3 linked regions of the Rattus norvegicus genome follow. The protein of the gene in region 1 purifies or fractionates together with the protein of each later gene. This does not show direct contact. Links are inferred from orthologs where the notes say so. Each region holds a gene or a part of one and is shown on either strand. Other genes may lie near its edges. The genes, in order: Lrig1, Erbb2 and Erbb4.

What was found.
Region 2: the proteins of Lrig1 (region 1) and Erbb2 purify together in Homo sapiens (co-immunoprecipitation; 4 studies listed by BioGRID and IntAct, with this or other methods). This does not show direct contact. The link is inferred for Rattus norvegicus from reciprocal best matches to the Homo sapiens genes LRIG1 and ERBB2.
Region 3: the proteins of Lrig1 (region 1) and Erbb4 purify together in Homo sapiens (affinity purification with western blotting; 3 studies listed by BioGRID and IntAct, with this or other methods). This does not show direct contact. The link is inferred for Rattus norvegicus from reciprocal best matches to the Homo sapiens genes LRIG1 and ERBB4.

What each region holds. Positions count from the first base shown.
Region 1 is NC_086022.1:128,783,464-128,793,349, forward strand, and holds the start of Lrig1 (leucine-rich repeats and immunoglobulin-like domains protein 1 precursor), read right to left. Parts: upstream 4,757-9,886; 5' UTR 4,276-4,756; coding exon 4,043-4,275; intron 2,245-4,042; exon of another isoform or gene 1-2,244. UniProt on the Homo sapiens protein: Acts as a feedback negative regulator of signaling by receptor tyrosine kinases, through a mechanism that involves enhancement of receptor ubiquitination and accelerated intracellular degradation.
Region 2 is NC_086028.1:83,903,529-83,913,445, forward strand, and holds the start of Erbb2 (receptor tyrosine-protein kinase erbB-2 precursor), read left to right. Parts: upstream 1-4,072; 5' UTR 4,073-4,177; coding exon 4,178-4,259; intron 4,260-9,917. UniProt on the Homo sapiens protein: Protein tyrosine kinase that is part of several cell surface receptor complexes, but that apparently needs a coreceptor for ligand binding. Essential component of a neuregulin-receptor complex, although neuregulins do not interact with it alone.
Region 3 is NC_086027.1:78,039,616-78,049,340, reverse strand, and holds the start of Erbb4 (receptor tyrosine-protein kinase erbB-4 precursor), read left to right. Parts: upstream 1-3,734; 5' UTR 3,735-3,767; coding exon 3,768-3,849; intron 3,850-9,725. UniProt on the Homo sapiens protein: Tyrosine-protein kinase that plays an essential role as cell surface receptor for neuregulins and EGF family members and regulates development of the heart, the central nervous system and the mammary gland, gene transcription, cell proliferation, differentiation, migration and apoptosis.

The sequences.
Region 1 (9,886 bases):
CGAAGGGGGACAATGTGATGAGGATATGGCTCAGTTAATAGACCTCTTGCCTAAGAGTATGCAAAGCCTTGGGTTCAATCATCCTTACAGATCTTTTCAACATGGTCTCATAGCAGAGAAAACTTTGAAAGGTGCAAGTACCCTCAAGATCTATCTGTAGGGCTGGGGGTGGAGCTCCTCAGCAGGAAAGCACAGTTGTTTAGCATGTCCCAGGCAGTGAGTTCAGATCCCTAGCACCACAAAATAAATAAATCCATCTCTACCTCAAACAACCTCCGACCCCAAATCGAAACAAGCTCAAGGTCTGCTGAGCTCTTAAAGTGACATGAGACAAAAGCGAAAGAACGGGTAAGGAGGGACTGTGAACCAGCTGGGTACTTCATGTAAACATGCAAGCCTGCACACTCGCGCACGCACATGCACACACACACACACACACACACACACACACACACACACACACACACACACATAGCAGTTTGGATTCTGAAAGGATTGGGTCATCTGACTTGCCTAAGATAGAAAGTAATTTCCAGAACCTTAATTCACAACACTTCGCACACCTAGCCCTTGAAGCGCAGCTGTAGAATCAGACAGACAGGGGCTGTCCTGGTTTCCCAACTCTCCAGTGAAAGCACAGAATACATATTGCCTAATGTAGCCTTAACCACCACTTAAACCAGCAAAGCTAGATTTGAGCCAGCCAACCTGATACTGCAAACACATAATACAAGAGAAGCAAACCAATCCACACTCACTACCGGGCCTCAGGATGACTACATTTGGTGCCCTTTCCTAAAGGCCCTTGCTTTTGAATCCCTGTCCCATTCCTCCACTGAACAAGAATCCGAGAACTGCCCTCCTGAGCCTGCCTACCTCCCACTCCCAAGAGGCCATCAGTTACCTCTCAGAACGTTAACAGCAACATATTTTGTAACTAAACTCTCTGCTCTAATTTAGACAGGTGAGAAACAGTCTAAAGTAAATCTATAATAGTTTTTAAAGAGCTTCTGAAATCATGCTCTCAAAAATAGTTTCAAGGAAAACAAACACCTAAGTTCTAAGAAGTTCAGCCTCTTGTAAGGTTCTGGGAGGTGTGTGGCGCTACTTGTGAGTGTTCTGATTGGACCATGCCGATCTCACCTATGCAACAGGACAGGCCACTCGGTTAGGCTCCACCTCTCTAGCCATAAAGAATATGATTATCCTCAGCCTTGGAGATCCCCTCCATCGATGCTGGTGATGCTACCCTCCATTTTTTTACTCACACTAAATTTTTATTCACTATTAAAAACTTTTAGCTTCTCTACACTTGGCCTAAGGACAACTCCAAAAGTAGATATGTACTGTTTACAAAAATGGGAGGAACCGATAAGCCCAGGACTCTTGCTATCGCAAACCTGCAGCCTGGAACTGTTTGAGCAGGCTGCTGTAAATCTACTTCACAGGCTTATAAACCAGCTCGAAGCATTTTCTAGACACAATGACCTTAAAAGGTGTAAATCCAGTGAAAATGCAAGATACTTCATTGTATCATACACGGAGACTTTCTCCACTGCTACCCTGCCGAGATAAAGGCAATGGTTTAAAAGGAAGGCGCTGGTCTTGGAGATACAGTTCAGAAGGAGCTGAGCGCCTAGCATGCTCCGGACCTAGGCTCAACCCTCAGTATCAGCAGGGGAAATATTTTGAGAAATATGAAGGTTAGGAGACAATTCACACTTGATTGCACTTTAAGCAGAAATAAAACAAACTTGTAAGTATTCTTCAAAGCCCTCCTCCCGTGTGTGTGTGTGTGTGTGTGTGTGAGAGAGAGAGAGAGAGAGAGAGAGAGAGAGAAAGAGAGAGAGAGAGAGCTCAAGCACACTCGCCCAAGTCACCACATACTAACCCAGAACCCAAACTCCTTGAATCTTAAAACTAATCCATTAAAACCATCTTCAGTAGAGTCATAGCTCCTGAAGCCCAAAATACCTAGTCTGGTATTTATTGATCATTAAATTGTGTGAGTAAGAGAGACTGCAATTTTAAAGGTATTTATGCTGTGTGAATTGTCACTTGTAGGCAACCAAAAGCTTAAAAATGACTAGTTGAGTTCCACTCCAAAAAAGGGCAAGGCAAGGTGGGTCGTGTGACAAAAGGCAAGCACAAATAAGAGCTCTCTCTCCAGGAAGTATGGTTCAGGACCTGAGAGCATTCCTCAGGTTCACCCATGACACAGGCTTTGCAAATCTCCCAACAGGTGAACACTTGAGAAGATATTCTGACTCTACCCACATGGTTCTATTATGTCATCATCATCATCATCATCATCATCATCATCATCGTCATCGTCATAATAATAAAAATCCCATCTTAAGTATGAGAAAATAAAAAACCTGAAATACCTCAAACTGCCTCAACTATTACTAAATAAAATCTCAGCAAAGAGCAATAGTGTGTTCACCTCCCAGGAACTGACAGAGCCACAGGGTTAAAACCCACTCTAAGACCACGTATTTTCAGTAGTGAATTCCACAAGGGAAGCAGCCGCTGGGGGGAGGGAGGGGCAAAAGGCAGCAACAGTAGCAAAAGGGTCTCAGCTGGCTTCAGAACTCACACAGCAGCCTGCCCAAGTGATGACGTAGAGACCTAGGCCTCATTCTGAGAACACAGAGTCTCCTTATTAGAAAAGAATTAACTTCTCTCCTTCAAGACAGTCAGATAGTCAGGCCCCGGTTTTCAGCAATGAAGCCACAGGTGTGAGTTAAAGCCTGCGTCATTGATTTTCTCTTTTTAAAACAACAAATGTCATGACTGAAGCTACTGCTGTACTTCTTTATGTCCTAGGAAAGACATTCAAGTGAGAAGCAGACTACTGAAGCTCGGCCTTTTTCTGAAAGGTACTAATAGTTCTAGAGATGCTAATTACTGATAGCTGAGCAAGATTCGACTCAAAAGTCTTTTTTTTTTTTTTTGAAGTATAACAATGCTATTCTATCCCACTACATTTACAGAAATCCAACGTCTTTTTGTTCCTGACAAATGTCCTGCAAAAAGTATCCCACCAACGCCGGATAGGCCCAAATCCCAGCAACAGAGAAATGTACCTCTGTGGGGTGAAACAGACTGACAGAGCCAGCCAGACCCCCTGTCAATGTCTCCTGAGGTAGCTTGTCAACTAACTTGTGCCATTTATGGAAGAGAAACTCGAGGGTGGGACCAGACCCACCCCAGTGGATCAAGCCCAAGGGGACCCCAGGGAACAGACAGGAAAGGATCTGGAACACAGTTCCTGTGCATGCCAGCCATGCGGAAAAGAGGGAACAGCTACACTCAAGACATGTCCAAGAACTCTCTCAAAGCTTTTCGATTTCTGGGTTCTCCGGAGCAGGGTCCTTTTGCCCTAGTCAGTGCCAAATCAAGCTGCCACCATTCTCTGGTGATCAGGAGACTGCAACACACGCTCACTAATAAATAATATAAATAGAATGAACACTGGAGATGAGCGTCACCGTCATTCATTACTAACTGGAGGTTAAGTTGAGGGAACTCAGGACACCAAAGGGCTGGGTTACAGAACAGACAGGAAAAAAGATACACACACAGATCCTAACACAAGACTCCCACACTCTGCCATCGTCTATCTCGCATGCACACAAATTCGCTCACCTCCACTCTTCACTCACACACCCACATACACGCACTTCGCGCTCGACAGCACACTCACTCACCTTCAAGTCACAAACCCGTGGTTCACCTCCACGCCCCACATTCGCTGGCCTCCACACTTCACGAAACACATTCAAGTCACCCCTACACGATCCCTCATGCCCTGCATCCTCACGAAAACACACGCTCGATGCAAGGCAGACTTCTCCAGAATCACGCTCACCTTCAAACCCCAGAGGTATAGTCCTCTCTCCCGAGCTCCCCACGCGTGACCTCCACCCGGCCACCCAAAAGTCTCCCAGCCCACAGAGCGCACTATCTTCCCCGCTGAGAGCACCCGCAGCCCCGTCTTAGTGACAGCGCCAGGATGAGAGGCGAAGGCGATACTCACAGGCTCCGCGTCCAGGAGGGCATGTCCCGGGGCAGCGTCGCCAGCCCGCGCCCACTGCAGTCCAGCGAGTCCCCGGCGCAAGTGCAGGCGGCCGCGCAGGGCGCCCGCGGACCGGCCTGGGCGACCGCAGACTCTGGCCCTTGCAGTAGCAGCAATAGCAACAACAGCAGCCAGAGCAGAAGGCGAGGCGCAAGGCGCGGGGCCCCGAACACTCCCGGACCCGGCCGCGCCATCTTGTCTGGAGCGCGCCGCGAAGCCGGGAAGCGAGGGCTGCGAGGTGCCGGCGGCCACGGGCCCGGGTTGCGCTCGGCGCTAGGCTCCGCGCCGGGGCATGGACGGCCGGCCCCAGTCGGCTCCGCGGCCGCTGCGCTTAGCCGGCACGCTCTGCCCGGGCCGCTTCGCAGCACCCTGCGGAGACCGCCACCCCCGCGCCCATCCGGGCCGAGCCCCGCGCGCGGCGAACTCTGCAGAGTCCAGCGGTGAGTGCTCGGCCGCCGCTGCTTGTCCTTCCCGCCGCGTTGCGCGTTGCCTTCGGAGCCCGGGCGCACGCCGAGAGCCGCTGCTGCTGAGGACTGAGAACGCTTAGCCTTGGTCTCTGCGCGTGGCGCAGGCGGGCACCTCCGGGAGGACTCTTGAGCTGATAGCCGTGGACCCCACGCGCCTCACCGTCCCGGAGCGGCCGGAGCGCACTGTGCCTCGGAGCTGCGAACAATCAGCGGCTAGCCCCGCTGCGGTCCAACCCCGCGGCCCCAGGCCCCGCCCCGGCTGCTCGCCCTCACACACCCCTCCGCTGGGGCCCCCGGGCGGAGAGCGGCCCACGTTGGCTGCTGGACTACAGCGTTACGCCCCGCCCGGCCCGTTGCTCATTGGCTTCCGGAGCCCCGGTCAGCTTCCGAGCCCGTAGGAGCGCTTGCTCTCCGAGGCCCCGCCTCCGCTCTCTTTTCCCACCCAAGGTGTGAAAGGCGGGGACTGGGCGGGGACAAGGAGGGGCGTGCTGTCTCCTCTTAAAGGAGACTTGCAGGATTTTGGCTACGGAGTACCAGAATCTGGAGAAGTGGCCTAAGCAACGGTCCGTTGAGCCTAGGGGAGGAGAGAAAGTTGGGACTGTAATCCAGGACTTTGGGAGCCATCTGGACCCAAGGTTTGTTCTGCTCTCCTAGACTACAAACAGCATGGTGGATTTACAGCAAACGAGCACCCTTTTTTCAGGTGCCTTACAGGAGAAAAAAAAGATTTAAAACTTTCGCGAGTTTCTCAGCTATTTCCTCAGAGGCGGGCAGCCTTTCTCATTTCTGCTCCAAACTCGTTCTTCTTGATATCTAAAATCCAGAAATGTGTCCTTGACTACCGAAATGAATGTATGCGAAGAAATTGAATCTCGAGGGCACGCCCACCTTCCCCGCTCCTAGTTAGTTGATAGTTCGGGAGGTGCTCTGGACTGGATAAAGGGGCAAGTTGTTGTGGTGTTGTGTTTTGTTTTTGAATATCGGAGCTTTTAAATACAAATACAGTTTTCAGGAAATTATCCGTGACGTACTCTTTATGGAGAGAGAGAGAGAGAGAGAGAGAGAGAGAGAGAGAGAGAGAGAGAGAGAGAGAGAGAACCTGTGAGTTTGGCACATACAGATCAGCATAGATTGGTAACCGCCTTGTGAAATAGTGCCTGGCCGTAGGTGAGCGCGCGCGCGCGCACACACACACACACACACTTAATGGAGGGGGTGGTGGAGAGAGAGAGAGATTAGCACTGTAATACATATCTGCCGCCTCTGGGAGCTTTGACTTGCTGGTGTCTCAACTGTACACACAGTCAGGGAAACTAAGGCGCTAGAGTCTTCTGGAAAACATTTGTTCTAGCATGCTAAATCTAACTTAAGTTTTATAGAAATGGAGTAGAAATGCTGTTCATTGGGAAAAAAAAAACCAAACGGTTAAAAGGTTTTCATTACATATTCGACATATTCAAGAAATTTGCTTCGATGCTAAATGTGACTGTCCCTCAAGTTTTTTTTTTTAAACCAAAATTGGACCTGAATTTAGTAGTCAAGTGATTATTGCCTGGTGGGCTGTGCTTTCTCTCTGTGTCTCTTCCCCCTCCCCGTCTGTCTTCCCCCTCTACACACACACACACACACACACACACACACACACACACACACACACACTTCTTTTTTGATTGTTTGAGTCTCATCCTGTAGGCCAGGCTCCCCCAACCTTTCCATCCTCCAGTTTCAGCCTCATGAATAACTGGCTGGCATTACCAGAGGGTGCAGCATGCCTGGCTTTGCTTGCCATTCTCTTCATCCTCCTATCAGCCTTCCCTTTCTCCTGATTGCCTACATCATCAAATCAACGCTGTCCGGTTTCTCTCCCTCTTTTCTGTTTCTCTCAGAAGTGATGTTGAAGCAGTGATCACGTGTGCATAAATTAAGCTAAATGCAATACCTCAGAAATATTAACAGAAAAGCTCCCAGTAATAAGTGCACACGTGAACAGGAACATATGCACTGCACACGCAGTCCACACAAGCATATACCTTCCACGAGGATAAGGAGAAACCGGTCTCCTTGTTTTCACCCCTTTGGGTGGAAATAGTAAACTAGGGACAGAGTACAAAAGATCTGCAAACTGGACGAGTCTTCTATCATGGGGCTTAAGTATCATGGCACTCAAGCCCAATCAACACAAAAGAGAACATTTTAAAGATTTAGTTTACTTTTAATTGCCTATGTGTGTGCATGTGTGTATATATAAGTGTGTGTATGTGGGCATGAGTGCAGGATGTCCGAGGAAGCCAACGGCCACTGTAGCTTAATGCAGGTAGTTGTAAACCACCGGACACGGATGCTGGGAACTGAATTTTCTGTGAGAGGAGTATGACATACTTTGAAACAACATCTCACTATGTAGTGAGGTTAGCACCAAACTTGCAGCAATCCTCCTGCCTCGCATCCCAAGGGCTGGGACAAAAGAGTAGTTTAGACCAGTAAGCTGAGAGAATGAAAGAGTAATTTGATCCCTGAAACCGACAAGGTGAAAGGAGAGAGCTGACTCCTGCAGGCTGTTCTTGGCCTCCATGAATGAGCACACACCCAAATCTAATTTAAATTTTTATTTTAAATTTGCAATGATTTTTTTAAATGTTATGTGTATGTGTGTTTTGCCTACATATGCCTATGTAGCACATGCATGCCTGGTGGTGCCCACAGAGGTCAGAAGAGATAATCATATCCCCCTGGCACTGGAATTACAGACAATCTTTAAATAAAAGAATAATTTAATTCAGAATGCTTGTGAGCAGCATGCCCTTAAAGAAACTTCGGGTCATCCCCACACCACCCCTGAATCAAACCACATACTAAACACAACTGATCACACTTCATGAAACCCGGCTGAAAATTACCTTAAGGTTGGTCACAGTAGAGTGTTAACAAAATGTTTTCAAATGCTGTGGGTGGGGCTATGAGATGCACCTGGGGACTCCAGCATCCTAGAGGACAAGGTTTGGGGATCTGCAAGGTAATTTGCCCCCCAGATCCACAGCATCCCCTGTGGTCTGGTTACCACACCACCAGAGAAGAGGATTCCAAACCGAGAAAGTCTTTTGGGGAACGGGGCGCCTGAGCCTTGGCAGTTCTTCTCGTCTACGGCAAAGCATGAAGTCATGTCTGCTCCTCACACCATGTATGGAAGTCTGCCCACAAACTAGCAACCTGCATGCGATTGCAGCAAGAGTGTGGGCTGGAGAGCAGAAAGCCAGCTTAGGAAAGAATCATCTGTGGCCACAACCTAAGATCAGGAAGGGAACACCAAGGGAGACTCTTAAGGAAAACTGCCTGCTAGAACAGGTCATGATCCTTACAGCACAGAGCTGATCCTCCTTCTTAATCTGTGTTTTGTCTGTTTATCTATTTAATCTAACGCTTTAATATTTTTTAACTGTGCCTCATCTGGAACTTGATAGGTAACAAAGAAATGACCTTACTGCCCTGATCCTCCTGCCTCTACCTCCTGAGTGCTTGAGCCATCTATCCAAGCATTCTAGATTTTACAGTTTGCAGAAACCAGTGCCCAGAACCAACAAGCGTTCAACACCCAGAAGAATTGCATCCAGAAGTCTCAGCAATACATCATGTTAAACCCAGTACTAGAAACCCACAAACTGCACTGAAAACATAGACACACACACTATAGGAAAGGGGCCAGCAAGATGACACTGTGGGCAAATGCACTTGAGGCAAAAGCCTGAGGACTTAAGCTCTAACCCCAGAGTCCATATAGAGGTGGAAGGGGAGAATCAACTTCACAAGGTTGTCTCTCGACCTCCACACGTATGCTGTGGCATGAGCACACCTCCCCCAACCCCCACGTACTTTTTTTTTTAAATCAGGAAAGCAGGTTGATCATGGGGATTGTTTGAAAACCCACCTTTCAAGAGTTGGAATTATGCCTTCTAGGTATTAAAAGAGAACTTACATTATGTTTGGTGCACTAAAAAATATTGGAGTCTTCAGGATAGCTCAGTGGTACCACCCTTGCCTGGCATGCACAAGTCACCAGTTTTGCGATTTAATAATGATAATTTTTTAAAACAAAGTTCCCCGAGCAGGAATCAAAAGACCTGGCTCCAGCCTTGTTACTAGAAACCTTTGTCCAGTTACGTCTTTTCTTAAACTTTAGTATTCTCAAATGGCACAGGAGACTAATTCCTTCTGCATATGAGAGAGTTTAAAAAGAAAAATGATCTAGTTTGAACTGGGGAGCTGGCTCAGTGGGCAAAAATACTGATTTTACAAGTGAAGCATAGGTTCTGAGTTCAAATTCCCAGCACCCATATAAGACCCTGGGCTTAGCCTGGAGCCTCAGAGCTGTGGGAGACTGAGTGAGGAGGATGGCCAGGCCTTGGCATCTGTCAGCCCAACTCCAAGTTCAATGAGAGGCCCTGCTCAAGGGCAGAGAGTGGTAGAGTAGTTCACACACCAAGGTCCTTCTCTGGCCTTCCCTTACAGATGCATGGGGCACACCTATGCACAAGTGCTGAACACACATTCTCACACAACGCTCCATTCGGATCAAGGCACGGGTGTGTTCTAGGCAGTGTAGCACCACGCATACCTAAGGCTTCCTTTCTAAGTGTTACTAAATTTAAACTCTGAAACAACAAAAGTCCACGATGTTGATGGAGATAGAAAAAATCTTTCTTATTCAGGCATGCCACAAAGGGTTAATGATTACCTGTAGAACCCCTAAAAGTTCAAGAGTGATGACAACCCGCTCTGAGCCTGTCTTGTACTTCTCTGCCGAGAAAAAATACAACCGTGTACTCATTAACTCCTTCTTCCCAGTAAGCTTGTCAAGGAGATGGATGGGGGAGAGAGTAAGAGAGAGAGCTAATGAGTCTGGGGATGGCATATGAAAGAGAATTTCGACATCTCCCCGCCCAGTGCCAGCATTTTCTTCCAAGAGAGGTGAGAAGAGGTGGGTTTGTTTGGTTGTTTGGTGGGTTGGTTTTGATTGTTTGTTTGTTCGTTTTTGTGCAGTTCCTGGCTCTGGCAGTGCTGGCTAACGTCAAACTGCAGCTGCTGTGCGTCCACAACCAGAACGTGTGATGCTTGGGGCTCAGCTGTGACCTGCGCAGGCTCCTACCCTCCTCCAAGAACTATTAATATCAACTAACAACTGTGTGGGCCACTCCTGGACACAAGCCATATCTTGGGGACACTTGTCATTTACCTGTGAATTTCCAATTTTAACTGACTCCACGAGAGGTTTTTAAAAAGTCACCAAAGCTATGACCATTTCAAAATCCTGCAGTTCCCCAAAAGAGGCAGTCTCTTAACTCCA
Region 2 (9,917 bases), on another chromosome or scaffold:
GTCTACACAGAGAGTTCCGGGACAACCAGAGCTACATGGTGACACTCTGTTGTTGTGAAAGAAAAAATAAACAAACACTTTTTTTTTTGCTTTTGTTTTGTTTGAGTCAGGGTTTCATTGTGTAGCCCTGGGCTGTTCTGGAACTCACTCTGTAGACCAGGCTGGCCTCAAACTCCTAAATATCTCCCTGCTTCTTTTTCCCCAAGTACTGGGATTAAAGTGTAGCCTGCGGCTACAACCACCAGGCTAAAAGAGGCCATCTTTAGGAAAAGAATATTTTTCCGATCAGAAGCATCTGATTTATTCCCCTTTGGTGCCAGGGAGGCCTCGTGTCCACTGAGGGAGCTCCTTCCTAGTAACTAATCCATATAGACACTTCCCTTTGCAAGCTGCATCCCAGTCTCAAAGCTCCTTAGTGGGGCCTAGATTGTGGCATGGACCTCGGACTGTGGACCAGACTGTCCCCTCCCTTTCTCTGTTTGTTTTCAATGCTCTGACTTGAGGGCTGGCTGGTGAGGTAGGCAGAAGGGAGGCGCGCGCGTCTCACACACACACACATAACACACACACCACCACCACCACCACCACCTTCTGTGCCCCCCAGGCTGGTCAATGATTGACTGGCACTTCACAGGCCACTGGTTTCAGACCCTGGCTTGGTGACCCTTAGAGGTCACCTCCAGCGTCCAGAGCCCCTTCCTGTGCCTTCGATGTCAATGACCTCCCCCACTGCCTCTTCTCTGCTGCCCAGGATCTTCTCAGGTGAATCTTGTTTCTGGCCCGGAATATAGTCAACTTCTCTTCCCCGTCCGTCTTCGAAATTCCCTCACTGGGCCTGTCTCGAACTCTCAGCCTCCGACCCCCCTCCCCTTCTCCCCAGTCTCCCCCTTCAGTCTTTGTCCCCAAACATCCTCTTTCCTTGGCTCTCCTGCCAGGCCTTAGTAAAGCGACAGTTGAGCAGAGAATCAAAACGGCATCGCCCACCCTGCCCCCCTTCCTCTCCCCTTGTCAAACACCAGAGAAGGTTTTTCCTTTTCCTTCCAGGCTCTGAATGCACTCTTTCTCTCAGGGAGGTTCAGCCCTCCGGAGCCTCCTCCCCAGGGCGTGAGTTCTGACCCCAGCTCCTCCCCGCCCCCCTTGCCAGCTCCGCACCCAGGCCCCGCCCTCCATGCAGCCCACTAGGGCTGAGCATTGTCTACAGTACTGGGCTTCTTCCAGGGGTCTGGGATGCCCAGTACGTGGGCTTGCTTGCAGGAAGAAGGGAGAGAGGAGGAGGTATTTTTGCAGATGGAGGGACCCTGGTGGCTGATGAAGGAGCCACTACAGCAGTCTTAGGAGAGGGATGACTTATGGGTCCCTTGCGTGAAGATAATGTTGAAGCCAAAGCCTTCTTGGCTTAGTTTCAGGCTCAGCTGTGTATGACTTTACAAAGTTGCAGTTACCGCTTAGGACAGAGGTTCTCAAAATGTGGGTCGCGACCCCTCTGAATTCGTCTCTCTCTAAAACTATTTACATTGTGGTTCATAACAGCAGCAACCTTACAGTTATGAAGTAGCAATGAAAACGACACGTGGGACTGTATTACAGGGTCCCAGCATTAGGAAGGTTGAGAACAGAACCACTGGCTTAGAATTTCAGGGTGCCTGCTCTGCAAAATGAAGACTAGTGATACAATACCTGGAACCTCAGGGAGTCCGGAGAGGAGGGAGGTGCCTGCAGAATGATACAATTGGGGTTCAATGTCCAGGCCATCCTTACTTAGCTCTCTCTCAGCTGCACTGATGGAGAGCAGGAGAGGGTCGGGGCTGGGAGAGAAGGGACAGCCAGCAATGGCACTGAACCCAGGTTAGTATATCGTCTTTCAGGAGAGCTGAGGAGTTACAGCTCTGAAGGACACCTAGGTTAGGGCAGGGGCCGGAAGATGGGCTGGGGTAAGAATCCAGCTTTGCTGTGGCTCCGAATTCCCATCGCCTTAAGATGTCCTGGGCGAACGTCTTAATCTTTTTGACTCTTGATTTTCATAATCTCAAATAGGAGTGTGTGTGTGTATGATTGCATGTATTTCATTCATTATTAATATTTTTTACTTCAATCCTCCTGCGTCAACTTCCCAAGTGTCGGGATTCTAATGGTGAGCCACTATCGCCAGCTGAAAATAGGGATATAATACATGTGAGTATTTGTTGAGCATTCTTGACAATGATCCAAGAAGTAAATCACGTAAATCACTGGATATCATCACCTACTCTCTCTCTCTCTCTCTCTCTCTATATATATATATATATATATATATATATATCCATATATGTATATGTGTATATATATCTATATATATCCACATGTGATTCTTATTAATGTGATTCACATACATCTTTTCCCTCTATTCAGTTTCCTTCCTGTCTCCTCTTTCCTGCCCCAGTGCATGCTAGGCAAGTACATTATCAACCAAACCACAGGTTCAGCCCTCTGGTTCTACTTCTGGGTGTGGTGGTGTGATTTATAATATTGTATTCTTTCTCTTGGAACACCTAAAATTGATCCCCATGAACATCCCATCTACCCCAGAATTGCTAATCTGGGATCATTTATTGAGCAATTATTATATGTCAAGCTCGACCCTCCTGAGTGCTTCTAGAGTGCTCTCTCCTCTAGCCCTTTTCTCAGTTTTACAGATTTGTAAAACAAGATTCAGAGACGGTCAGTTAGTTGCCTAAGGTCACACAGCTAGTATGTGATAGAGTGAAGATATGAACTCAGGTCTTCTGGATACCAGAGTCCCATGTTCTCTGGTCCCTAGTGTGGAAGTGTCTACCTGAAACTGTGTTTCAGTTCAATGAAAGTAGATTAAGTGAGGGCCACCCTTCATTTCCCACCCCCAAAGACAACTCCGATTGCATTTTGACCAGCACAGGTGTGTCCTTGACTGGAACATTCCAAGTACCATCACCAGATTTAGCAAATAAAAAGGAAGGTTGCAATGAAGTTCAATTTGAATTTCAGATAAACGACGGTAATTCATCCGTGTAAACATGTCTCCTGCCATGTGTTCTTGAAATTTCCAACAAAAGGCATGCCTTTCTTCCCGTTCCTCACCTGTCACCAGGCTTCAGGAGTGGCATCTAGGTATTTCAGGGTTAGATTGGCAGGAGAAAAGGACAGGGACAGAGGAGACGCTGAATGAAACTGAGTACTGTGTGAAGTCATAGAGAAGCAGGCATGGGGCTGGAGAAATGGCTTAGCAGTTCAGAACATGCACTGCACTTGCAGAGGACCCAAGTCCTGTTTCCAGCACCAAAGAGGGCAGCACCCGACTGCCTGTACCTCCAGCTTCGGGGATTCCCACTTCCTCTTCTGACCTACGTGGACAATTGCACTTATGTGACACCCCCCCAACCCACATATGAATACACATAATTTGAAATAAAAATAAGTCTTAAAAAGAGAAAAAAATAAAAAAAAGAAACAGGCGAAGCTGTTCTTCCGAGGACCGAGATCCCCAACCCCATGTGACTGTCTCCTCTTAGTTCTGTGGGTTCCTCTAAGATCAGGCTGGAGATACCCAAAAGTATAGAATTGATATCCCAGAGCGTCCTGGAAGTCACCAGTTAACACAACACATCCTCTTCCCAGGCTGTCGATTTTACCTGAGGATGTGGCGGCAGACCCAGTATTTGATATCAAGAGGGTGATGCAAACGTCCCAGGAGTGTTCAAGATAAAACCGGAGACTGCAAAGACGGGTAAAGGGATGCTGTGCTTTTAGGAAGTGGATGAGAACTGCAAGCAAGCAAGCAAGCAAGCAAGCAAGCAAGCAAGCAAGCAAGCAAGCAAGCTAGGCGTCGGGGCACAGGGCACGGCGCACCCAGGCCTGCGCCGGGAGGGAGAAAGTGAAGCTGGGAGCAGCCACTCCCAGTCTTGCTGGAATGCAGTTGGAGGGGTGGGGGGGCGAGCCGAGAGCGCGCGGCTCCCAATCACGGGCGGAGGAGGAGGTGGAGGAGGAGGGCTGCTCGAGGAAGTGCGGCGTGAAGTTGTGGAGCTGAGATTGCCCGCCGCTGGGGACCCGGAGCCCAGGAGCGCCCCTTCCCAGGCGGCCCCTTCCGGCGCCGCGCCTGTGCCTGCCCTCGCCGCGCCCCGCGCCCGCAGCCTGGTCCAGCCTGAGCCATGGGGCCGGAGCCGCAATGATCATCATGGAGCTGGCGGCCTGGTGCCGCTGGGGGTTCCTCCTCGCCCTCCTGCCCCCCGGAATCGCGGGCACCCAAGGTGGGTCTTGGCTTGGGAAGGGCTCTGGCCGCTGTGGCTGCGCCCACGGGCGGCCGGAGCCGCGGAGCTCCGAGAGCTCTACGGCCGGGAGGTCCGGGGCGATGGGGCGATTCCGGCTGCCGGCACCGCGGCCCGGAGGAGATCGGAGCAGCTGGGGATGGGACAGCCACTCGGAGGACCACACTGGAAGTCCAGACCGGCCCCTTCTGGCCACACCGGAGCTTCCCGGACTCCAGGAGACTCCGGGAACTCCTCGGCAAAGTTCTCTGAAACTGGTCCGAAAGTTTTCCTCCGGAGGGTGTGTGAAGCGCTGTGCGTGCGTGCGCCTGTTTCCCCCTTTCAGAGCCCCTTCACGCTTTCTCAGCTCCTCCAGTTGGCAGCCTCCGCCTCCGGACCGGACTGGGGAGGATGCCTTCGGGGTCCCTTCTGCCCCGCCCCTCCCCCTCCCCACCCCCTTCGGCCCTTTGGGTTTAGTAAGTTACTCCAGCTTCCAGCGGGGTCGCCGTGGAGGGGGCGGTGGGGGAAAGTAACCCGTCCTGTGGAGCAGGGAGGACCGAGTGGCGGGTCCGCGTTGAGTTGCTTCTCTGACGGTGTCTGGGATTTGGGGGAGCAGGGGAGGAGGGGCAGGCATTTGTTTTGAACAGTTTTTCTTTCTCTTTCTTCTGTGCTGGGGATGGGACACCCCCACCCTCCATCCCGGTCTCGCGCGTTAGGCAAGCCCTCTACCACTGGGCTGCATACTCCACAGACCTGTTCTGAACAAATTTCCATAGAGCCAGCTTAAGTACTGTGTGCTTTGGGATTCTGGGAAAGCTCGGCTCTTGAAGGGTGGTCTTGTGTTTTTCCGGCTTCCGTACAGTAAAGTCGGAAGGGTTCCTGGACATTTGCGGGGAGGGCATCGAAAAGAAGTCAGGTCAGCTAAGGGTGGACAGAGAGGTTGTTTTCTTGCCTCTGTCTGTGTGTTGGGGGCTGGGAGGGTGACCCGGCAGTGTGTATACCGACCCATATGTCCAGTTCTACCATAAGCGTAAAAGCCGATAGTCACTCCTTGTGGGTCAGCTCTGCCAGGCTCCGTGGGTGGCGGTTTGCACGCATTCCTTCTTCTGTACTGAGAACAACTCCACAGTGGAAACATTAGTAGCTTTCTCATTGTCCCAGGGTGAAAACCTGGGCTGGGGAAATGAAGTATCATAGAATAAGCGGTGGACCCCAGGCAGTGTGACCAGCCACAGGATATGAGATATGAGTCACAGAAATGCGAGTCTACCAGGACAGTGGGGACACGGCTTCCCTAATCAGTGGGCTGTACTGAAGATGCAGAAAACAGGTTCTGGGAGCAGTAGATGTTTTCCAGAGGCCAGGGAGCCTGGAGGCTGGTGGGGTATCACCATCTATGCCCCGACCTCCGGCCCCCATTCTATCAGTACACCCTGTGCTTTCTGTGGGATACCCCTGTATGTCTGAGGTGTTTATGATGGTTATGTGTTCGTGCGTCCGTCCGGGTTTCTGTTGCCAAATAGCAATCTCTCTGCTGACCTGGGGACACGGGATGAACTCTGCCCTCTCTAGGAACTCCCTCAAGGTTCTGGGCTCTATCTGTTGTAAACACTGGGAGATGCCCCTTGCCTTGTTGGGATTGAAGTCTCCTTTCAGTTTCTCAGGAGGCCAGCCTTCCTTCTGACTTTCCGTTGGGAAGAGTGAGGCTAGGCCCTTGCCCTGAGTTGGGTCTGCTGCTGGCCAGGACTGAACTGCTCTGTGCTGTGGAGCAGGAGGGGGAGGGGTCTGCTCGCCAGACAGAGCGGAGGGCTGCTGAGACGTCATCCCTTCAGATGCACTGCTAGGTGCAGAGGGGTAAGACGGTTTGTCTTGCCAGGAATGGTTTTAAAAAAAAAAAAGAAAGAAAAAAAAAAAAAAGGCAGTGCACCATCCGCTGCCTCGAGCTCCGGGTTCTACCTCAGAACCGGTCTTGGGCAGGTGTATAGGGGAAAGGAGATATGGAGAGGCCCAGAGAGTCAAGATGTTGCTGGGCTTCTATGTACTTAAGGTTTTGCAAAACGCAGTAAACACAGGTCTTTACCTTTGCAAGGCTTATATCTATTTCAATTCTAGTATGATTCTCTCCGAGCCCCTCCTACCTTTTGCTATACAGGGACGAAAGAGATTCCTCTTGCAGAGGAGGACCTGGGGGTCTCTCAGGTCCCAGTTCTCACACGGTGGCTCACGACCACCGGTAACTCCACTACTAGGAGCTTTGATGCTTAATTCTGACCTCCACAGGCGTGATGTGTGTAGTGTTCACACAAGGGCAGGCAAAATACTCACGCACATCCAATAAAACAAACCCTAACAAGAGAAAAGAAAAATATACCGCATTTCAAAACCAAATGGGAAGGTCTTTCTCTTTTCTCCTGTAACTACCCAGATCCTTCTAAGTGCGTCTCTCCCGTTCTAAAAACTTCTGTGTGCTTCCTACACAGCAGATCCCTTTTCGTAGATGGCATTGTGCCCTCTCTGCGCTGTCCTGTGGAGCAGGTGTGTACAGAAAAAAGCTCTACTTCAGAGAAGTGAAGAGACGTATCGGGGGGGCCTTTAGAGGTGGTCAGAGTTGTAGTCATCAAACAGGAATGGACTAGGAAAGCCTCATGGCAGCCGGGCAGTCACACAGAAAAGTGTTCTTCTGTTACTCAGTGTGGCCTTCCTAACCCCTATCCCAGGCTGGAGAAGGTACCCCGAGATGGGGTCCTGGGGTGCCTTCCTGGCTGCAGAGTTTGTGTGCAGCACATGCTAGCCTTTCTCTTGGGCCCTCGATAGTGCCAGGAATGGAGGGCAGGAAGGTGCAGAGACCACCAGGACATACAGACCCATGGGAATGAAGTGGGTAGTTAAAGTGGAAACCAGAGGACTAGTGGAGCCCACGCTGGGCTTGGGAAGCAAAGGAGGATCCAGGGAAGGTGTGTCTGCCCTTGAGTGAAGGACTGATCCCAGGAGAATCCCTTTCCTTTCCCCTGTGGAGAGCTCTCAGGGGTCTCAGGGAGTGACAGTTCTGTGATTTGCTAGGCCACCAGTCAGGCAGAGGATTGGCAGGGGACCTCTGTCCTCAGGCGGTTAGAGAGGGAGTCGTTAAAGCTGCTGTTTGGGCTTGCTGCGGGTCTGTTTACAGAGCGTCCTTATATTTACTGAATGCTTCTCTTCCTCCTCTCCTTTAGCGCTCAGGGCCCTCGGAGGGGAGTGAGAGTTGTTACTGCCAAACTGAGGTCAGTAAATATTCACGGAGGGGCCAACTAAGTCACAGTCGCTGTTGGGCTTAGAGCTCAGTCTTATTTAGCTTCTGCCCTGGAGGTCTGAGCATATCCTTCCTGTAGCCCAAGCAAGAGTGGCTGAGCCAAGGTTCTGGATAAAAGACCCAGAGTCTAAACTCCACTCCGACACCAGCTTCCTAGAGCAGGTGTGTGTGGCAAGGGAGTCCTGATGTCACTTGAGTGAGCTCTGGCCTCTGACCTGCTTGGGGAGCTTTGGGGATGTAGGTAGTTTCCTGGCAGGGTTTATCAACACCAAAGGAAAATTCTGGCTTTCACACTGTAAGCCAGATAGCAGCTGGGGGCCCAGGATGCAGGAGGTCCTGGGTTCTCTCCTCAGTGCTGCTGCCAGTGAAGACAAGAAAGGACACAGTGTGAACCAGTTGGGAGACAAGAACCCACAGGAGAAGAGAAGCTTGAAACTAGGAGTTAAACCTTGGTTACTAGTGTTCAGCAGGAGGGACCCAAAGGGCTGGGGTCAGCACTGAGCAGAGGGATGGGTACCTGTTGTTTTCAGCTTGGAAGCGCTTCACTAGATGGTGTTCACACTCATTCATTCATTCATTCATTCCTCCCTCCAGTAGATGCTTATCCAGCAGTCACTGGCCGTGGCCTCGCTCTGTGATGGCCCTGCTTGACACTGCATTTGTCTCCAAGAGTTGGAAGATGGGGTTTCTGAAGGGGACACCAGTCCTGGTGGCAAAGAGGATCCCGTGAAGAATTAGAGCCTTTTGCCCCACCCTGAAATTCTTGGGACAGGATAGTTATGGGGACTGTGGTCAGAGCTGGTGGGGAGAGCTTGGTAAAGAGTGGGGAGTGGGAGGGAGGCCGAGACTTGGAAGGGGTCCAAAGGCTTTCTTGGCTGTATGTCAGCATGGTGTGTTTTTGCGTGGGGGGTGTCAGCTGGCAGCTTTGAGCTCCCCTGGAGGAGGTCTCGGGGTACCAATTTTCCCACCTGTCTACAAACACTTTAAGACTCTTACTCAAACCAACCACAAATCAGATAAACAAACTGGCTAGTGGGGTGTGGCTGCCACTCTTTCTGACCTCCTGCCTAGCCCAGCCACCCTGCCCTGCCCAGCCACCCTGCCCTGCCTGAGCCTCTGTGTTTATTGGTCTCACTGGAGAATTATTATTGTGTTTTATGTTTGTGGGGGGTGTGGCATTGGTATGTGTATGTGTGCGTATGGTGTATATGTGTATGTTGTATATCCATGTATCTGAGTGTGTGGTGTGTCCATGTATGTGTGTGGGCAATGTGCCCATATATGTGTATGTGTGTGTGGTTTGTCCATGTATCTGTATGTATGCTATATATGTTTGTGTGTGTGTGTGTGTGTGTGTGTGGTGTGTCCATGTCCATGTGTGTGTGTGTCCATGTATGTGTGTGTGTGGTGTGCCCATGTATGTGTGGTATGTCCATGTATGTGTATATGTGTGTGGTGTGTCCATATATGTGTGGTGTGTCCATGTATGTGTATGTATGTGTGGTGTGTCCCTGTATGTGTATGTGTTTGTGGTTTGTCCATGTATATGTGTGTGTGTGTGTGTGTGTGTGTGTGTGTGTGTGTGTGTGTGTGGGGTGTCCATGTATGTGTATGTGTGTGTGTGGTGTGTCCATGTATGTGTATGTGTGTGTGGTGTGTCCATGTATGTGTATGTGTGGTATGTTTGTGTGTGCGTGCATGAGTCTGGTAAGGTTTAATGGAAGAAACAGGGGAACTGTGGAAACCTGGATTCTAATTAAGCCTCTATCACTCCGATGTTATATGTGGTTCTGGCCTGCTTTGTGTTGCTGAAATTGGAATGCGGGGCTTTGCGCACGCTCTGCAAGCGGTATACTGCTGAGCCTGCGGTACGACCTTGGAAGGATCAGTTTCCTTCTCTGTAAAATAGAGGCAGTAGCCTCAGTCTCTGAAGTATACAGTAGGTACTCAGCTCGGTTACCATGGCGATTGCTGTTGTTTCCCTTTGCTTAGCTACCGCAGCTGGTGTCCTTTGCCTCGGAGATGAGGCAGCAGAGGGCTGCAGGGGTAAAGTGCCACAGAGGGTGGGCCTCTACTCCGACTGTGCCATCCCTGTCCCCGGCTTGGCTGGACCTGGGATCTGGGAGACAGCTGTGCACATAAGCAGCTGAGGCTTCCGTGTTGGGGGAGGTCCTGGCAGCAGGACGTTATTTTGGGCTTGGCTGCCACCCCTAGCTCCCATTTTTCTTGGTGGGGCGGGCGTGTGTGCGTGGGGGGGGGGGCCTGAGCAAGAAGACAGAGGGTAGGGTGCAAGTGGGTGCGGTGTGGGGTGGGTAGGCCTGGCTGTCTCCCCTCCATCCAAGGGATGAGCCTTTGAGTTCTATTTCTGATTCTTC
Region 3 (9,725 bases), on another chromosome or scaffold:
GGTAGCAATTGGGACCATGACTTCATTGCAAGGAAGTGATGAGAAGATAGGCCAGGAAACTGAAGCTTAGTCCCTGTGAAGACATCTTCTTCAGGGAGAATGAGGACCTGCACCACCTCGTTCAAGTTGCAAAGTTCTTTTCTCGTGCCATACAGTTCTGGTTTCAGGTAACAAAAGGAAAACTGAACTAGCTTAATGAAAACACTACAAAAGAGCTTGAATCCTTTCCAGACCCATCTGGACTTTGTTCCTTTCAAATGGCTGTTTCATTCTTTCTTGTTTCATGGGCAGAATGAATGTGAACGTTTTCTTTCCCAGGAATAAAAATCCCAGGGAAGGGATTTGGTGGAAAGGACTGTCTCTCATCCAATCAACAGTGACAGAGGCATTTTTGTGTGTTTGACTTGTCCAACTTAGAACACACTAGAGTGTTGTAATGTGGATGCATTTTCAGATTCATAAGAACTGCGAGAAGAGGTATTCAGCAGATCATTCTTGCTCCTTGTTTGTGGTTGACTAAAAAATGAGTTACTTGTTTTTTCCCTCATCATCCCCCACAACCCCACCATCAGGCCTGGTTTCAAGTCTTAGACACACATTTTAGTCAACTGATAAGATTTCATTATAGCACCGCACTGCAAAGTGGGGAAATACAGAGATCTATTTCTGCCTCTGGCAATTCAGATAGCATGTCCTTCCCATACCAGGTAGAAAATGTTCTCTGTGATAGTTCCTCTTTGTGCTAATTCAGCAGACATGGGAAGCCGATGACAGCAGGCCTGTAAAATAATAATCCTTTTGTATTCTGTTTTAATCTCTGCCTGCTCAGGATAGCCCGTTCCTCTATACATGCCTGTTTCTGATATTGAAACGATCTAAGCTAGGCTTTCAAAACTAAGATGTCAGTATCGAACCTAACGTGCTTCTGTAAGTCATAGCTTTCATGTCCAGTTTGAGGGCTTGAAAGCTGTTGGCCAAATGTCAACCGAAGGCCAGGTCAATTACTTTTTGATTCAGTAAGAACTAGGAAAATATGGGTTAAGACAAACTGATCTGAGATTTAGGCACACATTATGGACACGTTGGCCACGTAATTGGTGGATATCAGCTCTACAGCGATGGTAACATCTATGATTGTAAGTAAAAGTCCTCGTCAGCTAAGAATTAGTCTGGAAAATCTAGGTGAAGTTAGACCATACATAGAGGTCCTGCTGTAGTTGTGCACCAATGTTGGTACAGGTATTATTTTCTAGCACTAAGAGTTGAACTAAGGGTTTCATGTATGCCAGGCAGGTATTATACTCTCAGTCCGTTGAAGGTCAATGAAGACAAAGACGTCCTCATAATAAGCACAACTAGAAAATACCGTGAGATATTTGCACATCTAATCTGTTTCTCACAACGGGAGTTACAATCTAGCTATTATAACTTCTTCCATTTCCAAAAATAACTGTCACCAGAAACTGGACTCTAACAAAATATACGAGCTAAAACTCCCCCCAGAAGTAGCTTGTTTTTGTCATTTAAATTGTTATCGTGGTGACAGATGTAAAAATGAACAGCTTTTATGGAGAAAGGGTACCTGAAAGTAAGCATAAGCCGTTGGAAGACAAGGAAACCGGGAGGAGAATGCTTTAAATGGAAGGAAGAAATGAGCATGGAGAGGAGATAAAGAAGAGAACAGAGCTAACATCCAAGCCCGGATGCGTGTACCTGTGCAGTCAGTCAGTGCCGTGCCATTCTAGTCAAGGTCCCATCGCTTGCTCTGGGCTCCGTTTTTCTCTGCCCTGGGCTGCTTCTGGGTAAAAAGCACACTCAGCTTGTTTGACCTACGGTGGGCCTGTTACACACTGTGGGGCCAGGGAAAGGTTTCAAGCTTCAAGCTTCTGTTTTTGCTCTCTTCAGCTGCCTGGAAATTCTTGAGGGATGGGGCCATAGTTAGAAGATGTGTGAGACCAGGAGAAGGACTCCAATAGTGACCGAGGAAGCAGGGTGGTTTGGTCTTAAAGAACCCTTGCCTTTTTTTTTTTCACTGCTTTGAGAGAAAGCAAAGAAAATGGCTTTTTAGAATAGCAGTACACATAGAATAACCTCTGACTCCCTACAGCTCTTGGCTCCAGCTTAGAGTGGTTTTGGACCTGTGGCCCCTCAGACCACAGTAATCCCTTCCAGGGCATTTTCGATTTAGAGAGACTCAGTCTTACAGCTGTTGATGACCCTGGAAGCACACACCCTGCAAAGTGAGAGCAAGTGCAAGGCCTCAAGCTGGCTCTGCTAAGGTTTAAAGCTAACGGCCTGAGTCCTATAGTTATGACCTGACCTCCTAAACACATTCAGACCGAACAGCACAGGCTTAAGATAGTTGGCATAATTTCAGAGTCAAAGGATGTGGTTTCACAAATATGGGTTTTTAAGTTTGGCTCAATGTCATCTTGGGAAGGTGGGAGAGACGGCGTCTTATTTGGGAAGACAAGAACTGTTGGCAGGTTTTATTTTACCTGCAAGGCTACCAGCTACCTGCAATATCCATTTTAAAGTACTAAGCACGGAACGTTCTGGGGTGATGGAGAGGGACCGAGATATTTTTTTTCCCAAAGCAACACTGACTTTCTATTTCTAGGGAAAGTCGTGCGTGTGGACTGATGCCTTGGAGCAATAAAGAAAATGTCCTGTTCTTGTGTCAAAAATTCCTTCAGCAAGCATTCCCTCTGGTGGACTGACTTCTCGGCGGGCCAGCTGTCCAGGGCCTCTGCCAGGGCAGTCGCAAGGGGAGCGTTTCAGACTGTGGTCTCCACTGAGCCTCTCAGATCCTGCTTCCCCTAGGAGCCCCTACCAACACCGTGCTCCCACTGCCTGACAGGTGTTTTCCCAACTCTAGGGGCAGTGGATTTTGGGGAGTGTCTGAGCCAATAAGATTTCTCCTTAGGGGGAGGGCGTGGCTACATGGGTCAGAGCAGGGGCGGGGCTTGCGCAGCGGAGGAAAGCCTGGCTGGTTGCGTGGAGGGTTGTTTGATTCCCACCCCCACTCCCCTCTTTTTTTCTTTCTTTTCTTTTCTTTTCTTTTTTAAAAAATCTTTCTCCCTGAGTCTTATTAATTTCTCTGTGGGGCTGCGGCTGGAGACCGCGGAGCGTTGGAAATGACGCTCGGAGCTTTAATTACTGCAATGGCTGGACAAGTGTGAGGAAAGCTGACAGTGGAAAAAAAGGGGCACAGGATCGGGGAGAAGGAAAGAAGCACCCCCCCTCCTTTTCCCTCCAGATTTGGACAGGAGATGCAAGGAGACTGAAGAGAGAGCTGAACATAGCCTGGTTTTGGGGGGAGAGGCCGGAACCCTGCCGCCTCTTCGCAATCAACTTTTTTTGGAAGCCTTTATTCCCCCTCTTTCTTTTTATTGTTGACCAACCAGTGAGAAGGAGAGAGAGCGAGCGAGAAAGTGAGGAGTGAACGGGCGAGCAGAGGATCACTCCGGAAACTAGCTGTACGGTTGTGCTCGGAGCACCAGCCGCACAGTCGCGCACACTCCCATCCGCGCGCCCTCCTTCGCGGCCCCTTGCTGGGTCCGCGGGTCCCCGGGTCCTGGAAGCCGCCACCAGCGCCGACTGGCTCGCCAACCCCGGGAAGCCCGTGCACAGAGCGCGCCGCGCCCGCCCCCCTCGCGCCCCCCACGCGCTCCCGGCTGAGGGGGGGAGATCTCCTCCGCGTGCCCGCAAGTGGCTATGGTATTTGGACATGTAATTGTCAGCGCGGGATCTGAGACTTGCCAAAAATGAAGCTGGCGACGGGACTGTGGGTCTGGGGGAGCCTTCTGGTGGCAGCCAGGACCGTCCAGCCCAGCGCTTCTCAGTCAGGTGGGTCGCGGTCTCGCGGTTCCCAGTCGCGCTCCAGCTGTTGAACCCGCCACCGCCTCCGGTGGCTCCCTTCTCCCCTCGTTCCTCTGTCACCCTCCGGCTTGAGGGACCGTAGGGACCTTGCTTCTGGCTTGGGTCGCCCCTTGCTCCATCCCAAACTTACCTTTGTGTGTGCGTGCGTGCGTGTGTTTTTATTGATGCTACAAATGACTCCTCTTTCTTGCCTCCCTCTGTATTATTGTCCCCCCTCTCGCCCTCTCTTTAGCCCCCTTCTTTCTTTCTGGCGCGTTTTCTGGGAGCCTAAGCGGGATCGCTTCTGGTGGCGCCCGTTGTTCGGGGCGTGGGAGACCTAAGCCCCGTCAGTGGAGGTTCCCTCCTCCTCCGGCTGGGAAGGGAAAAATAATCAAACCAAACCGGAGAATCTCTGCACCTCTTCGGGCCGCCAGGAGGTTCCCGGGCTGAGCCTGGCTGGCCTTCCCGGGGTGCAGGGCTGCGGCGGAGCGCGGCTGGGGAGCGGGGTTGGCACCTGAGCAAGCTGGCACGCGGCCGCCGGCCCGAGTCTCCCGTACCCTGCGGGGTCACATCGGACGCTCAGCCCTATCCGGGCAGCTGGAGCGCACCGGGTGCGCGCCTCGGCCAGAGGCCAGGGACTCTGGGCCTTCTTGGTTGGCATCTCGGGGCTGTCTTTCGATTGACTTGGGGCGAGAAGGGGGGGGGGGCTGGCTCGCCTGCCAGCAAGATCTCTTAAGAAAAAAAAAATCCTGGCATACTGAGCCCGGAGCCCGGCCTTCCCTCCCGGTGCTGGTCTTGGCTCCGGGAAGAGTTCTTCCAGTAGTGCAACTTGGGGTTGGCCTGAACTTCTGTTTACTGCCCCGCCAGGCTGCAGAGCCCGCGGGTGGCACTCATTGACTTAGCCCGAGGCGGGCCGGGTGGCGGCTTCCTGAGTGCCGCCACTGTTGGCCCGATCGCCCAAGCCCTAGGTATTTGGACAGAAAAACGACTAATTGACCCCGAGAGGCAGCACAGAGTCGCTGGCGTGCTGGGGCCGCCAAGGCCAATGACAGCGGCTGAGACGTAGAGGAGCTCAAAGTTTTTTGACTCTTGGGAGTTTCTCCCGGATGAGAGGAGGGGACACGAAAGGACTAAGGAGAACCGGTGTGTCTGACCCGGCTGAGAGGGGCGAGAAGAGGGCTTTTGGAGAAGGCAGAGAGATTTCCGGAACCTTCCGGGGCTGGTGGCGGGAACGTGGGAGTCAGCTTGAGAAGATAAAGCGTTCAGCAGTGGCGACAGGGAGAGCTTTAGGTCCCTAGAGGGTGTCCTTCTGACCTCACCGAGAAAGCGGCTGCTTGCTAGTTTTCCCGCTCCGCCCCCGCTCCCGCCTCTTCCTCCTCGCCTAGTAAATAACAAGTTACAATCTCTGAGCTGTTCAAAATGACCTTCGAGTGGCACAAGCTCGCCATTTGTGCTGGCCGTTTGCATACTCCCAGTGACTCCGAGATTCTTCGTGCATTCCAGATCCTGCGCTCCAGCCACCTCTGGAATCAGAGCGGCAGCAAGGACTTGAGATTCCAGGCGGCCGCCTAGATACATCCCTTTCTAGCTTCCCACTCGGAGCCCCTTGCCTTTCCCTTCAATGGGTTGATTATGCACATTGACCCATTCAAAGACACTCGCAACTGTCATGCAGGCTTAGCCGAGAGGAATTTCTATCAGGCCACCCTACCAGGGGGCTGTCTGGCATGGCCTGGGCCGCTGGGAGATCCCCCCTCAAGTCCACAGCAATTGGTATTAACTCTACAGCTCCCGGTTGGGCTATGCCGAAGAGCCCTTTTCAGAATTTAGGCAAGGAATGTAATCCAAATTAGTTCTGTAGCTGTCCCCTTCCGCGTCTCAGACGACACCAGCTTGCTCCTTAGCTCTCTCTGCTCCTTTCCCTGGGCGAATTGTCAGACCCACAAGTGAGCCCATTTAGAAGCACAAGGATTAGCGTGCCATTGTTGTTTCGTGTGTGTGTGTGTGTGTGTGTGTGTGTGTGTGTGTGTGTGTGTGTGACTCTGTACTTGAAATTCTGGGGACACAAAAGAGAGACTCACTTGTTCAAAACACAAAGTGATCTAGATGAAAGGGCCGCACAAAGAAAAGCTCTCGGGTGCATCCCTGGTATAATTGCAACAAGCATACTTAGGTGATCTATTGGAAACTGTCTGTGCCCCCAGGGACTTCTTTTTTTTCCAGGCGCCTCCACCGCACCTGGCAGAGAAAGTTCAGCTGGTTTTAATGTAGTGCTATTATAAAAACAAGACGCTGTCTGGTGAGAGCGAGGCTCTGTGTTTGCGCCTGTGCGTGTGTGGCTGTCTATCCAAGTAAATACATAGCGCGCGTCTCCTCTCTCGCGGTTAGCAGTCGGCAGCAGTTTGGAGGAGTTTGTTTTGGTCCAAATGAGAAATTAAGTGCGGATAAGTAAACTAAGCTGCCAGAGGGCGACAAGATGTTGAGTGAATTGCTTTTAGATGAAACAAATTAAGGAAACGAGGGAAGACAATCTGCTTCTCGCATTATTAGACACGCTTGGAGTTCAGGGGGAAGTGGCATATTTTTGAAATGCTAATTTCTTAAGCAGAAGGAATGCACCTTATTTACTGCTGGATGTGAACGGAATAAAAACATACAGTGGGTGATTCCCTTGTGCGATCTTCAAGATGTTTCTAGGGAAAATTTTACGTAGGAAAACTTGCTTTTCCTTCTGCTTGAGGGGGAAAAAGTCAGCTTTTGAGTATTTAAAAAATAATTCCAAGGAATTTATGTCTCTTTACCGGTGGTAAATATTATCTATAAACATTTTGGTCAAAGGCCTTTCTATGGTAATTCCACCTGGAGGAATAATTCTAAAATGTTTGCCTTCTTTCTGTGGTTGAACTTATCAACATCACTTTTTTACTGAAATAAAACTATACAGTTGTGTTGAAGTGACATTCTCACAAACCGTAATATGTGCTGGACAAGATCATTTTTCTTCTTATGTGCAAGCTATTTAGCTCCCTGCTTTTCATTTAATCAAAGTGTGCACATATCCTATACATTTAAGGTATATTATTCCCCTCCTCCAATATTCCAGTGGTATTCTACATTTGAGAAGTTATTAATGAAACTTAACGAGAAAAATATTACATAGATTTTTTTAAAAAAAATAATGCATGAATCTTTTCTTCAGAGGGCATTTGCAATGTTCATGAGCATAGGCACACTATCCCCTTTTGTTCCTTCAATGTTGAAAACCGTGCATGTGTACGAGGTAGCTTTATAGAAGAACGTAGTTTTCTTTCATTTGGAACACTTCTAAATGGATGGATACCTTGCATTGTAGCTTCAAATTACTTGAAAACACGGTAAGTTTCTATGGTTGAGGTGAAGTGGAATAACTGCTTCTGTCTTCATTGTTGATTTCTCTCTTCAACTCAACTGCCTTTATTTTAATCATGCATGCACAGAAACTCAAATTTCTCAAAAACACAACCATATATATATGATATTATATGTATATCATATACATATATCATTTAGTCTCTGAAAATGTGTCTTAATTAGGAAATTATGTCAGAATGTTTACTGGGGCTTGGGCTTGTATGTGCTGGAAGATTTATATATTTTTTATTCTAACCTGAATAGTGTGTGCATTGGCTGCTTTTTTTTTTTTTACAGTTTGCATTCACTTGATAGAAAATCATATTTCCTCCTCAAAGTGGATTCAAATATTTAGTATTCATGAGCTTTCATCTCTTTGGTTCTTAAATAGAAGTGCTATTTATCATCTGTCTTACACATTCACCCTTTCCATTACTAAGAATCCCTTACGTATTATTTATCGAGTTTAGGCACATGTGAATATATATTTCTCCCTTCCACCACTAAGTGTATTCATTTTGTATGTGTCTTTCCCAGCAACCTGCCACTCAGCCACTGCAGGAGTTCCCTAAGCCAGTTTTCATTCTTTCTCTCTGATAAATCTGATATGGCTGGTTGGCTGAACCATCGTAAGCCATTCCATTGCTCAGATTTATTCCTGAAAGAAAATAAAACGGCATCGATCCCAGATCACTAGGGCATCTCAAAAGCCCAGACTCCAAGGCCAAATCTTCCCACAGAGAAGTGCCTCTTTCCCTGTGGGTTCCTTCTTTTTTCCCCTTGACCATGGACAGGTGGATGACTGCCATGTAACAAAGGCTACTGACGAGAGGGAATTGTGCTCTTAGTATTCCCTGAAGCTTGATTACAGCCACTTTGAGATTAATGGCGATGTAAAGTGTACGTTTTACCCAGTGTGCCAAATTAGCAGATCTTCAATATTGCATTGCTTTTTTTTGTGCGTTGTCTGGTCAATTACTACAAAAAAAAAATTAAGTTTGTGTTTTCAAAATAGCTACAACTTTTGGTTTTGCAGTGTTCTGCTGCTGTGGGATGCCCACCAGTAAGTTCTCAAAACCTAAACGAAACAAAAGATCAGAAGAAATGTTTTGCTACCAACAAACCTATTGGCATTTGACCTGCTTAATCCCACATTTCTGAGAAATACTCTTTTTGTAGATATGTTCATAGCAACATTGAACTTAGCTAATGCATGTTCAAATCTACAAGAGTATAATGAATGTCAAGTATAAATGTCAGGACCACCCTGTCATCCTTTACAGAGATATACTGAATGTGCTATAGAGGACAGAAGTCAGTCTTATTACCAGCTTCCCCCAGATCAGACAATCATAGGTGGTCTGTTTGGTTAACATTTCACCATATGCAACTAACTTGGCCCCTTTTTTTCCAATATTCATCTTGTGTAATAAAATATTGAGTAGTCAGAGAAAATAATTTTGTTATTGCTAATAAAGTTATTAATACGAGTTTATGGATTATAATGAGAGAGTATTTTGATTTATTTATTTGTTCTGAATTAAAAAAATCTGATGAAACTATAGCACTTCTGTATAATTTTAAGGAGACTTTACATGTCTATATAAGAAAGACAGCATAGACCATACCATAAGGTTTAAATCAGGACTTCTACATCCTAGGGACAGTTCTAGGCTCCTAATGTTGTCAGAATCATTCCATGTCATTGTGAGTTGGGTTACCTGCCTGGGAGGCCAGGGAATGCATGTAAGATACTGCATATTTCTCTACTGTGTAGCAGTTTTCCACAACAATGAGTTTAAAGCCTTCAGTGATCCTGAGATATATTCTAGTAACCTGTTAAGTGTTTCTGTACACGGAATTCAAGTTGTACATACAATTAAAACATTTGTGCATACATTTGTAAACACAACATAAACTCCACAGCAGGCTGTCTCTGTTTGGAAAGCACCCATTTAAAGAAACAAGGAGGATCTTCACTTTCTAGCACTTACTCGGGAAAACTCTTTCTCTCAAATAACACCTTTTGGAATTGCTTCATGGTGTCCTCAGATTTCATTGTTCATGTATCTTTCTGAGTTTGTCAGTATTTTGACATAATTTTTTTAAGCATTTATTTTTCTGAGCTTTAACAGCAAGCTTTAAAGTCAGTTTCTTGTTTTTGTGCTGAGACTTAAGTCCTTTCTAGAGTTAGAGAAAGAAAAGCTTGCGATGTCGCAGTATGTGGTGGTTTGGGGCTCTGATTCTGAAGAGGGTTTTGAACAGGGAGTAATTGTCTCATAGTTATTTTCAAATAAATCATTGCTTATAGGCACATCATTTTGCACAACTTCAGGGGGCAGCAGATTCTCACAGAATTTAATAAGAGTGGAGATGCTTGCACTGTGGGTAGCACATCAGCAGCTCTGGTTCTGAGGAAAGCTAAAGACTAAAGCACTGAAATAAATGTGAGAGTTGAGGGTTCTGGTATAAGC